Sus scrofa: one gene and its partners. The protein of the gene in region 2 binds, or shares a complex with, the protein of the main gene of each other region. Links are inferred from orthologs where the notes say so. Each region holds a gene or a part of one and is shown on either strand. Other genes may lie near its edges.

The links. Proteins that work in one complex are often made in the same cells at the same time.
Region 1: POLR2K (region 2) and POLR1C share a complex: the UniProt entries of both Homo sapiens proteins name them as parts of the pol I pre-initiation complex. The link is inferred for Sus scrofa from reciprocal best matches to the Homo sapiens genes POLR2K and POLR1C.
Region 3: POLR2K (region 2) and GTF2F2 share a complex: the UniProt entries of both Homo sapiens proteins name them as parts of the TBP-based Pol II pre-initiation complex. The link is inferred for Sus scrofa from reciprocal best matches to the Homo sapiens genes POLR2K and GTF2F2.

Annotation. Positions count from the first base shown.
Region 1 is NC_010449.5:38,510,326-38,514,361, reverse strand, and holds the start of POLR1C (DNA-directed RNA polymerases I and III subunit RPAC1), read right to left. Parts: upstream 2,842-4,036; 5' UTR 2,778-2,841; coding exon 2,694-2,777; exon of another isoform or gene 2,622-2,693; coding exon of another isoform or gene 2,589-2,621; intron 2,568-2,588; coding exon 2,496-2,567; intron 1-2,495. Other genes in the region: protein YIPF3, read left to right, coding at 3,074-3,154, 3,749-3,946. UniProt on the Homo sapiens protein: DNA-dependent RNA polymerase catalyzes the transcription of DNA into RNA using the four ribonucleoside triphosphates as substrates.
Region 2 is NC_010446.5:36,849,806-36,854,036, forward strand, and holds the start of POLR2K (DNA-directed RNA polymerases I, II, and III subunit RPABC4), read right to left. Parts: upstream 2,818-4,231; 5' UTR 2,677-2,817; intron 1,476-2,676; 5' UTR 1,468-1,475; coding exon 1,407-1,467; intron 1,097-1,406; coding exon 1,004-1,096; intron 112-1,003; coding exon 89-111; 3' UTR 1-88. UniProt on the Homo sapiens protein: DNA-dependent RNA polymerase catalyzes the transcription of DNA into RNA using the four ribonucleoside triphosphates as substrates.
Region 3 is NC_010453.5:22,142,081-22,146,391, forward strand, and holds the start of GTF2F2 (general transcription factor IIF subunit 2), read right to left. Parts: upstream 2,842-4,311; 5' UTR 2,683-2,841; coding exon 2,617-2,682; intron 1-2,616. UniProt on the Homo sapiens protein: TFIIF is a general transcription initiation factor that binds to RNA polymerase II and helps to recruit it to the initiation complex in collaboration with TFIIB.

The DNA.
Region 1 (4,036 bases), on a different chromosome or scaffold from region 2:
GAAACAAATCCGACTAGCATCCATGAGGATTTAGGTTTGATCCCTGGCCTCAATCAGTGGATCAGGGATCCGGCATTGCTATGAGCTGTGGTGTAGACTGCTCGGATCCCAAGTTGCTGTGGCGGAGGCAGGCAGCTGTAGCTCTGAGAACAGCTGTAGCCTGGGAACTTCCATATGCTGAGGGTGAGGCCCTAAAAAGCACATAGAGAGGGAGGAAGTACATCTGCTTTAACTATTAAGGAACAAAATACATTCAAAGAATAGTACAAATATGCATTATGATTATTATCCTCTGAATTATTCTCCTGCCAACTTCCCCTTGCTAAAAGCAAAATGGACTTGGTCTGTTTTTCATTGGTATGATCACTTGCTAAACATCTTTACGCCAGGTTTAGGTCTTGAAAATGTTGCAGCTCATATTGAAACTTTAACAAAATTTACACAGGAGACTTTGAATGAAAGTCATTTTTTTAAAAAATAAAAAAAAAAAAGAAGGTAATGCTATTTCTTTACTCAACGATGAAATGACGTCAATGAGAAAAGCTATTCTACAAATCAGGATGGCCTCAGACATTATCACAACCTCCCAGAAAGGAACCTGTGCCATCATTAAGGTGGACTATGCTGGATGCTATTTCTATTTTATTTTATTTTTTGTCTTTTTTGCTATTTCTTGGGCCGCTCTCGCAGCATATGGAGGTTCCCAGGCTAGGGGTCTAATAGGAGCTGTAACTGCCAGCCTACACCACAGCCACAGCAACGCGGGATCCAAGCCGCATCTGTGACCTACACCACAGCTCATGGCAATGCCGGATCCTTAACCCACTGAGCAAGGCCAGGGATGGAACCCGCAACCTCATGGTTCCTAGTCAGATTCGTTAACCACTGCGCCACGATGGGAACTCCTGGATGCTATTTCTTTACCCAATGTTGAAATGACTTTAATGAGAAAAGCCATTCTACAAATCAGGATAGCCTTAGACATTATTACAGCCTCCCAGGAAGGAAACTGTGCCATCATTAAGGTGGAATCTTGTGCTTTTATTCTTGATGAATCTGCTAATGTATTTCAAGTGCTAAAACACAAACACAGATTGAGACCTTCAGTTGCCTTCTTCCAGATTTGGGAGGGCTTTTGGAGGAATGAAGGAATGGATCCCCAAAATCTTGGCTACAATCTCTTTTAATTGCTTACTGCTGCGTTTCTCTTGATTTCTTTAATAGATTTATCATCTGATGCGGAAGATCAACAGAAGCCACAAGGTTAACACTAACAAGCAGCATTGGCTTATTATTTTCCCAACAGAGGAGGGACAGGTGTTATGCTCCTTCTCTAGACAGACCTATGACCCATCTCAGGAGGAAGCAGCTAATGATCGGTCTCTCCCTATTTGCTCATTTAAGCATAATGGAGTAAAACAGCTGGAGGAAGGAATGATGGGGATAGAGTAGGATAATCACATAGTTTAGAAGTCCCACTAGGGTTTAAAGACAAAAAGGAAATGTTAAGGGGGTTTGAAGACTGCTGTAAGCCAACAACCGACCACTTAAGAATCCAGTAACTTAGCAACAATCTACACCACCTTGAAGGAAGACCAGGTGTATCTAAGCACCAGAAACAAGCCACAAGTCCTGATAGTTAAAACCCAAGACAAGAGATATGGGGTTTCAATCTTGTTACATGAAGTCAGAGTTATTGGTCCTTGAAGACTGGCATTGCTGCATGTAGACAAGGTGAAAGAGGGAAAAAACTAGGTGAAAGGGGAAATTATTCTGCAACCTGAAACGAATTACCACATTTTCGCATATGTTACCGCTTCTGCTAATATACCTATGATTTAAACAGCCCATGACACTCCCCCTTAGACCATATAGGGTCAAAGGAGGAACTGATGATGCAAGCCTGGACCATCTTACCCAAGAATGAGAAATAAGGTGGTCTTCTCCCCGCCCCACTTTCACCTTGATTATAAAAATGTAGCCCTCTTTGTTCTCTGGGTCGCACTCCCTTGCCTGCTCATTAGTATTTCTGACAAGCGTCCTATGCTAATAAATTCACTTATTGTGTATCGGTTTGCCTCACGCTGAATTCTTTTTCCCACGAGACAAAACCTGAGGCTCAGGAAGTCCTGACGATAGCAGGTGAGCGGTATCAATTAAGACAGTGGGTTTGAGTCCCCTCCTACGTCAGGGACCATGGGTTCAAGTTCCAATGGGGGTTTTGGCTGAGTTCGAGTCCCACCCGAAAGGGAGTGCAGCTTCAATCTTTATTGCTGTTAATCGCCCTTACCACAACTCACTAGAGTCGTGTTACCTGTACTCTTTTCCAAAAAGACCGAACCATCTCGTTAGCTTGTAGAACAAAGCAGAAATTGTGCACATCGAGTGCCTAACACATCCAGAGCGAACCCCCAAGGCAGTTTCCGAGGAACAGGATGTTCAGAGTGCAAGATCCGATCCTCATACCCTCTCTGAACACCTCCAGCTCTACCCACCTTCTCGAAGCGGTCCTGGTCCCAGGCATCATCATAGCCCGAATAGTTACCGGGAAAATCGGTAGTATGAACCTAGAGCAAAGAGAAACGAACCTGTTCGCGAAGGAGCAGCGAGGCCAAATTCATCCCCACTCCGACTCTAACTCATCCCTGCTCCGCTCTGATTTCTCCTCCCGAGGTCAAGTCCACAAGACTTACATTGCGAACCCCGAACTCCCCTAGAACCACGCGGCTCCGCATTTCCTCCACAGCCTGAGCCGCCGCCATCTTCAACTCCACCATGTGACTAGAGTACCAAGCCTGCGCGTGCGTTCTAGTCTCCCTGCCCCGTCTCCGTGGCAACACACCACCTCCCGGAATCCTAAATATCGCGAGAATCTGCCCCGCCTCCGTCCACGTCCTCAGATACCGGAAGTCAGTTTTAACCAAACATCCGGTTTTCTCCTTTTTGCGTTCCGGCCGATCCCACCTTTCTTTCTAGTCCCTGGACCTGTCCATCCGTCAGGCCCTCATCTCTCCCACTCCTCCTCAGCGCGCGGGACTAGCGCGGGCTTCAGCGACGGGAGCCCTCGAGGGACATGGCAACTCCGGCGGCGCCGGCCGGCGGCGCCCGAAATGGGGCTGGCCCGGAATGGGGAGGATTCGATGAAAACATCCAGGTAAGCGCCCCACGGCTCCGGCTGCCAGCAGCCCCACGGCCTGCAGCTGTCCTGAAGTGTCATGGGGACTCTTCCTTCGAGCCTTGGAAGTCTGCTCCGTTTGCAGAACTTTTTGTCTTCTTTGGGTCTTCGTGCACGTGAAAGGCAGTGGAACTAGTGCGGACCTAAAAGGTCCACACTAGTACCTCTGAGCCCCCTTGCTCTTGCTTTCCGCACAACTTAGAAGGTCGGGCACGGCCAGGGGCGAGGGTGGGATGGGGGGTAGGCGGGATTCACTGGCCAAAACCACACTGTGCGCGCAGCCTTGTTTTGGGGTGGAAAACACAAAGGAAATGGGCACTTTTGCAGCCTTTTGTGGCTTTGGTAGGAAAAGGACACGTATGGAAGACAGGGAGTAGGTTTCCCAGGCTGGAAAAGAGAGCCAAACAAAGGTTCTGAGAGCAGTTGAGGGGAGGGGAGTGGCATGGTCTATGGTAATTCTAAGCCGTATCTCCAGCAGTGAAAGGACAAAGCTCCAAGCTCTCCGGTGAACAGAGAAGGACATAACGGATGGAGCAGAAAGGTCCTCCACTGTGGGATCCGTTGTCTTCACAGGGTGGGGGCTCAGCTGTGATTGACATGGAGAACATGGATGATACTTCAGGTTCCAGCTTCGAGGATATGGGTGAGCTGCATCAGCGCCTGCGTGAGGAAGAAGTGGATGCTGATGCAGCTGCCGCTGAAGAAGAGGATGGGGAGTTTCTGGGCATGAAGGGCTTTAAGGGACAGCTGAGCCGGCAGGTGGCTGATCAGGTAAGCAAGACTGGCTCTCTGACAGGTGGAAAAGTATCCTGAGGCCTCTGGTTCTGAGTTGGTATTAGTGAAGTTCACCCCAGCTTGTCC
Region 2 (4,231 bases):
CACAGCTGTATTCTTAAAGTACACAAATCAAAAGCTATACAACATCAACAGCAAATCCAAATGAAGATATTCCTCTGAATTTCACGTTTCATCGAGCATCAAAAACCACCACTGTATTAAACTGAGTTAAGGAAAAGAAAAGTAATTAAAGATTTCATTAAAAATTTAGCTCTTCCAAGTCACTTTCTCTTTGTGACATCAATTTAAAATACACAAAAGAATGAAATTCACTATTTACTATGATAATTAGAAATGAACTAAAAATAAACTAGTTAATTATTAGTCCCCTTTTCATGATACAAAAGACCAATACACCAAAAAATACTTAAGTGATGGTAAAGGTAAAAATTTAGCAATCTAAAAAATACTGTTAGTTACTACATAACAATTTACTTTCTACTAATTTGTAAGCCTCACTTTCTCCACTAGGTAATATACGTCTCAATATTTTTATTTCTCCCTGTATAATTAGTGTGTCCATGAACTAAAGCTCAAGAATGAGTACTTAAATATAGAATCCAAGAAAGATACACTTATGAAAACCAAAATTAACTAGTATTTAGATTATTTAGTATATGCCTATGTACCGGCATATTGGTCCATAACAATGCTAATCAAGCTTTTTTTTCCCCTGCCTTTTTAGGGCCGCACATGCAGCATATGGAAAGTCCCAGGCTAGGAGTCGAATGGGGGCTGTAGCTGCCGGCCTACATACATACCAGCCTCAGCAACTCAGGATCCCAGTAGCATCTTCGACCTACACCATAGCTCATGGCAATGCCAGATCCTTAACACACTGAGCAGGGCCAAGGATCAAACCTGCGTCCCTATGGATGCCAGTCAGATTCGTGTCCGCTGAGCCACGATGGCAACTCCATGCTTATTTTTTCACTAAGTAATCCAAGTTTTACCATTTTTTAACAGCTAGTCTTTGACTATCAACCCAAGCATTATTCTCCACTTCCTCCTACCTCATATTTAGAAAACACAGTTAAAAGGATACATCTTTTAGTTCTTTTCTTGTACATTATTCTGTACCCACATTCTCTGCATCGGATGGGATCCCTTGATTTTATTTCATTTTCTGTGTGACATTCTAAAAGAGAAAACATATTTATTCAATGCCTAAAAGAGAAATAAGAGGCAAGCAAATTATCTTAATTATACTTTTCCCCCAAAGCACTAAAATATGTATACTAAATCTCAACATTATCAACATATTAAGGGAAAAGAAAGAAAAGAGTGGTGGGCAACGCACTTTTTCTAGGAGAGAAAATGAAATCTTAAAATAGTTGCTAAAGCGCTAACTTCAAAGAGGAAGGACTCAAGTAAAATAAAGATAAATGCACTATCTTTTTAAAAAACTGAGGTAAAATACTTTTATTTTATGTAAGTGCCACTCTTACCTCCACAGATATATATCATTGGCTGCTGTTTTGGGGGTTGAACGTCCTTCTGTGTGTCCATCGTTATCCCTGAAATCACAGATTCAAATACTGAACATCTTAAAGGGGCCCCTCACAAATCCAATCATGCCTTATTTTTCTCAGGGAAAGCTAAAAAGCTAAAAAGTTCCCAATTCCTAATCCGTACTTTTTAAAAATCCTACCGCTGGTTCTAAAGAATGAATCAAACCCACAAATAAGCATTTTGCATTTACCCCCAAACTGGACTCCATAAACACTTTACAGATTTCATATTTACACATGCTATTTCATTATAATCTCTACAACAATTCTAGGCGGTTAAATAATTACTCTTAATGAACAGATCAAGAAACTAAGATTTAGGGAAGGTTAATTTGGTCAGGATTATTCAGTAGTTAAAAGGCAGAGGAATTTAGATCTGACTGCGAAGCTCTGGTTTTCATTTAACACGAGTACAAGTACTATTTTTCTTTTTCTTTCTTTTTCTTTTTTTTTGTCTTTTTGCTATTTCTTTGGGCCGCTCCCACGGCATATGGAGGTTCCCAGGCTAGGGGTCGAATAGGAGCTGTTGCCACTGGCCTACGCCAGAACCACAGCAACGTGGGATCCGAGCCGCGTCTGCAGCCTACACCACAGCTCACGGCAACGCCGGATCATTAACCCTGCCCTGAGCCAAGGGCAGGGACCGAACCCGCAACCTCATGGTTCCTAGTCGGATTCGTTAACCACTGCGCCACGACGGGAACTCCAATTTTTCTTTTTCTTTCTCTCTCTCTCTTTTTTTTTTTTCCACCCGCGGCATGTGGAAGTTCCAGGCTAGGGGGTCCAATAGGCCTGACAGCCACAGCAACGCGGGATCCGAGCCCCGTCTGCTATCTATACCACAGCTCAAGGCAACGCTGGGTCGTTAACCCACAGAGCGAGGCCAGGGATGGAATCCGCATCCTCAAGGATACTCATCTGATTCAGTTCCGCTGCGCCACAAGGGGAACTCCCACAAGTGAAATTTTCCCAAAATTTAGCAAGAAATTGCCAAAAAACTATACCCCTCAACAGGAAAACATGCGAACCGAAGAAAAGGGAAAAATAATGAAATAACTCCTAACAGCTGAAAAGGCAGACAACCCAACAGCTAAACAAGCCAAAGGGCTAACAGCATCGACTCCATCCCCAGCCTCTCTCGACTCTAATCCCACACCGGACCTCCTGTAACCCCTAGTATCTTTCCAGTTTTGGCCCAAACACTCACCTTCCAATCCCAAACCGCCAATCCGCCAAACCCCTACCCACGGAACACGGAGAAACTTCCCGAGGCTCCCTAACAGATTCCTGAGGCCGCTGTGTGTCAGCCCACTTCCGGCACTGGCAGATGACGCAGGATGTAGTCTCCGCCCCTTCCGCCCAAGGAGTGGCCGAAGAACCCGGATTGAGCGCGGGCAGTTAAATTGGAATTATGTATGTTTGATTCGCTCTGTAGAGGTTCTTATTTGGCTCCCAACTATTTTCATTTTTCGGGGAGGCAAAGAATTTTAGCAGTTTCTCAGGTCGAAGGAGGTTTGTTTCTATGACAAATGAAGGCCGCAGAAAGTAACAGTTTTCCAAGAGGTCAGAGCGTTAGATACCCAAGTGAAGTGCTCATGGAATCCCTGGGCTGACCGTTACTCCAAAGAACGTGGAAGTATCGGTTTCACCGCTGATTTCCACGTAGAAGAGCAGTTTTCAGATTATGGATTTCAGATCGTTTTAATACCTGTGCCGCCGGCAGTGGAACAGCCGCCTCCTGCCCTTTGCATAATGTTTGCTTTTCGACCCTTTCTCACTTAGGTACCTGTCATCCTTCTCAGCCTCTCCTTTTACTCGTTTTAAAGCACAGGCGGACTTGCAGGCAGCTACATCCAACTACTGCCACTTAAAGCTGAGGGATTTAGGTAGTGGTGGCTGTTTACCGACCCTCCTTTGGTCCCATGTATTCTCTAGAAGAACAAAACGACCTGCTCAGTGGAATCCTTTCAAAGATCAAACTATTAGTGAGACATTATCGTTGGATGTACACATTTACATTCGTTTGCTTCTTTCATAGCAGGCATTTTACTAATATCAGAATGAGAGGAAGAAAATGAAGTTGTTACAATTTAGAAAATACATATTCGTTATCTATTACAGTTAATTGGAGAAGCAGGTTTCTTTCTTCCCAACATGCATTATTTTGGTTTCTTATTAAGCAGGCAATACTGCTCTCTGGTCTTCCATACGGAAACTTGGGAACTTTGAGCTTCGCATTACACTTCCAGGAGGAGTTCCAACTGCCGGCACCTCCACAGACCAACTTGAGAGATTTAACTCAATCTTCCCAGTCTTCTTAGCTCCCTGTTGTAAAAATTTCAGGAAACACAGTGGAGTGTCCTGCTTCTTCCTCCACAGACAGGCTAAGACAGAACATACAAGTATTTTGACCATCTTAAAAAATATCTCTCCTGTCAGCCAAAGGGAAGAGGTAACCCAAAAGAAGAATCAAAATAAGCTTTGCTCCAAGAAGTATTAGATAAAACCATTGTTATCATAAGAGAAAGATTATGGAGTGATCCAAAAAGTATAACTTTAATCATTGCAAGCTGACCTGGATTCCAACTCTCAAGCTTGAGATTTCAAGAAGATGCTGGCACTTAATGCAGTCTATGGAGATCAGGAGGAATTAACACATGCAGAATACAAACGGCTCCTGGGACCCTACAGAGGGGTAGAGTAAAGACAAGTTGTAGCAAGGAGATCCAGAATTTCAACAAGAGTTCATGTTGGGGCTAGAT
Region 3 (4,311 bases), on a different chromosome or scaffold from region 2:
ATTAAAGCAGAAATAAAAGTTGTCATAGTGGGAACATGAACAGATTTTAGAATACAAAGTATTTCCTAGTAATTCTTTTTTTTTTTTTTTCTTTTTGTCTTTTTGGTTGTTGTTGTTGTTGCTCTTTCTTGGGCCGCTCCCGCGGCATATGGAGGTTCCCAGGCTAGGGGTCGAATCGGAGCTGTAGCCACCGGCCTACGCCAGAGCCACAGCAACACAGGATCCGAGCCAAGTCTGCAACCCACACCACAGCTCACAGCAACGCCGGATCGTTAACCCACTGAGCAAGGGCAGGGACCGAACCCGCAACCTCATGGTTCCTAGTCGGATTCGTTAACCACTGAGCCACGACGGGAACTCCTTTCCTAGCAATTCTTATCCTCTTTCAGAGGCAAAGTTTGTCAAAGGACAAAAACTGGTTAAAAAAAAAAAAGAAAAAAAAAAGAAAAACTTCTTTCACACCCTGGAAAGATGCAGTAATTGCAAGCCTGTTATTTTCTTTGATATGTAAGTTTAGAAAAAGAAATACTACATGCCAAATTGATAGGAGGAAACAATGATATTGCAAGAAATAAACAAAACATTACAACTACCTTCACGAAACAGAACAAATCAATGGTTTGAGCTGAGGTGTTTTTAAAGTGGTAAAATGTAGTCTAATGGCCAAATATAACACTTAAATTTCTTAAGCTCATTTTCAATTCATTACATTCTTTCACATACTCCTTCACTCAGTCATCATATCCTGACAACTTTTTGCTGGAGAAATTTCCCTAACTTCTCAGACCTAACTATCAAATGCCTATGAGCCTGTGACAATTATCTAATTTTAACTAGTTATCTTCCCCTCAAGCTTTTTTTTTTTTTTCCTAAAACAATCATGTGCCTCCCTGTTTTACTTAAAACCCTCCAAAAGGTCCCTCACTTCTGGTAGAGCTAAGACATCTCCATCTCCCAGTGTGACATTATGAGTATATGGTCCCAATCCTCTCCTCCAGGCGCAGTGATCTCTGTTTTCCAGGACACACCATCTTACTGGGCATTTTCACTCCTGGATTTTGGTTCCACTCGCCATGGTATACTACAGAGATACCATGGGTGGCCTCGGTTCAACGAACCAACTCTCTGGAAGGCAAACACCAAATTTGTTGAGCATTTTATGGTGCTCCAAGCCCGAACACATCATCTCAAGCTTCACCATTTTTTTAAGCTCTAAGTCTCCAACAGACATCTCCTCCCTAATGATTCCCCTCCACCTGGTAGGCAGGAGAAAAGAGACACTTACTCCATCAGTTTACATGGTACTGATATAGCTGTGACAGGTCAAATGAATGCCAGAGCCTAAAGCTAGGCTTGAGGAGTTCCCTCATTCATTCATCACGTATCTACTGAACTATTACTATGTGTCAAATACAATTCTGGGTGTGACAGGCAAGGATCCTAGTCTCCTGAAATGGTACTGTGTGTGTGCTAATCAAAGGGAGGTAAACAACACTGAACACAGACACACTTAAGACTCTGACAAGTGCTCTGAAGACTATAACACAGGTTTAATATGCTGGTGAATAAAAGAGATTTAAGACAGATAAACAGGAAGGGCCGCTCACATTTAACTGATGAGAACTCAGTCATGTGATCAAAGTCTAAAAAAATTTAGGAGTTCCTTCTGTGGCAGAACAGGATCGGTGGCATCCTGGGAGTGCTGGGAAGCAGGTTCGATCCCAGGCCCAGCACAGTGGGTTAGGGAGCCAGCATTGCTTCAGCTGCGGTTCAGGTTGCAACTGCAATTCGGATCTGATTCCTGGAACTCCATACGCCGCGGGGTGGCCAAAAATGAAAATAAGTAAAAAGTAAAATAAATGAATACATTTAACAAACCAAAGATTTCCCTACATCTCATTTCAGTTTCAAAGACTGTCATCATCACACTTTGAACACACATGCCTTATGAAACCCTCCTAAGAGACAACACTCTCCAATATGCAAAAGTAAAGTACAAATACTTTGCTAAGGGCTAAGTGCTCTCTTTACAAAAAAAAATAATTGACAATTAGTTTTTAGGAGATCCAGTTGTACTCTAAAAGAACTCTCCAGTCCATGGCCTCTTCTTCCTTGAATTCAGAGCTCTCTCAGCTCTCCTGAGAACTCCACAACAGCCATCAACCTAAAAGAACACTTTAGGGGTACGCAGGGGTCAGTTCTACCCAATGGCTGCAAAAAAAAACTGTACAAGAAGCAGACACCCAACTTCCTTACACAGACTGATAACTAAAATCAGTTTCACCAAGAAAAGACGCAGAAATTCTTCAGTATAGGGTAAAAAATACATCGGTCACATTGAGGGAACATCAAGATAGGGTCCCGAAAAAAACAGGTTATGGGGAAAGGAGATCCATCACAAGCAGGTTCAGACTCCTAATTGGCTAAAAGGTATCGGGCGTCCCTCAACTAATTTCCTTGTCTGCAAACGAGCGTAACAAGGAATCCTGCCTCTCAATAAGCGAAGATCTAACGAGACGACCGTAAAGAAGTTTAAAAGGTACACGGCGTGGGACAGTCTCAAGTCACTTCAACTACTTTAAGGAGGAGCACAAGCAGGAGCCGCGCAAACCTTACCTTGACCAGCCACACTCCAGTGTTCTGTTTGGCGCCCGTGAGGTCGAGTTCCCCGCGCTCAGCCATGGGTCTGTCGCCAGCGGAGGCGTACAAACCTGAGCAGCGGCCCCGGGAGCTGGGTGAACTGCGGGGCGAACGACCGGAGCACAGGGAAGGCCGCGAATGGGAAGCGGTGCAGAGTCGGCGTCCACCGACCGACCGGGATGCCGGGAGCCCCAGGAAAAGAGGAACACGCCGCCAGGAGTCGAGAATTGCGCATGCGCGCCGCTACCGTCACTACGGCGCGCTGCTGCGGACAAATTTCCTGAGAGGGCGCCTGCTTGAGTGGGCGTGGCTACTGCTGCTGCTGCTGCTGCTGTTGGCTGTGCCAGAGTGTTTAAAACACAGGAAAGGATGGGCGGAAACGTCAACAATACAGATCAGTAAAGATCACGTCAGTGTAACTGAAAATGGAAGGTGTCAAAACAGAAAAATGGAGTTCAGAGAGACAAAGGCTGTCAGTATATGTCCAACCCTGGCCATGGTGAGAGAGACAGCATTTGGAGGCCAGGGTAGTAATAAAGTGAATTAGCACAGCGGTCTCAATTGAAAGGCTACCCTGCGCACCTCCATTTAAACAAGCAGAGCACAACCCCTTCAGACTCCAAAACCCAAAGCCCTGTGATTAGATCAATGACAAGGGACATGTAACAGACAAATCTGATTGTTACACTCCCCTGCTTAAAGAGTCTTGCCTCTAGAACAAAATTCAATCCTCTCCACACAGGCCCTGTCAGTTTCATCCCTGCCACTCAATTCACCAGACATCCAACCACACTTAACCCATCAGACCTCTCCAGACACATCAGCATGCTCCTCAATTATTTCAGGGCCTCTATACACTGGATTCCCTTTACTCAGATGCCCTCTTCTTCCTTTACCCTTATTCTCACCCTTGAATTCTGATTGGCAGACTCCTACTTAGGTGTCAAGACTAATGGAAATCTCACTGCCTCTGAGAGCTTTTATCAACTCCCCCAGAGGAAGTTCATTTTCCTTCACATCAGAAAGAAGGGTGTGATACTTACCACAATGCACTATTATATACATGTTTACATGCTGCCTTTGCTTTCTAGACTCTGAGCTCATCCTAGGCAGATAAAGTGTTTTATTCATTTTTTATTAACAGCATCTAACACAGTGCTGACACCTTGTCAGATTTCAATAGGCTTTGGCTGCTGAATGAACATTTGCTGGAAGAAACAAACAGTAAGATATTGTAAGAATGGCCCAAAAAAAATGTGCTGAATCCCTCATCAGAGTTATACACATAATTTAAAAAGTTCTGTGTCTGTGCAGCATAGGGCTGGGAAAAGCTGTCAAGTCTTTGAGATTAGCTGGGAAAACCAATAGGAAAAAAAGGGAGATCAGGCATGTATTGAAAGGGAAGATTGCATTCTTATGTCACAGCTTGGGAAACAGCCTCAAAACATATAAAGGACAAGTGGATAACGAGACTGCCTTAAGCTTTGATCAAATAGAAGGAATAAACTGAAATAGGAGACCATGAGAGAAGAGGATTAACATAGCCTAGATCACCCTAGTAATGAGCTTTAAAGTAAAACATAGGCATTGACCTATAGTTTATGGGAATCCTTAAAAGGTGTGTGTGTGTGTTTGTGTGTTTACAGGGGTTAAGAGAGAATAAATGACTAA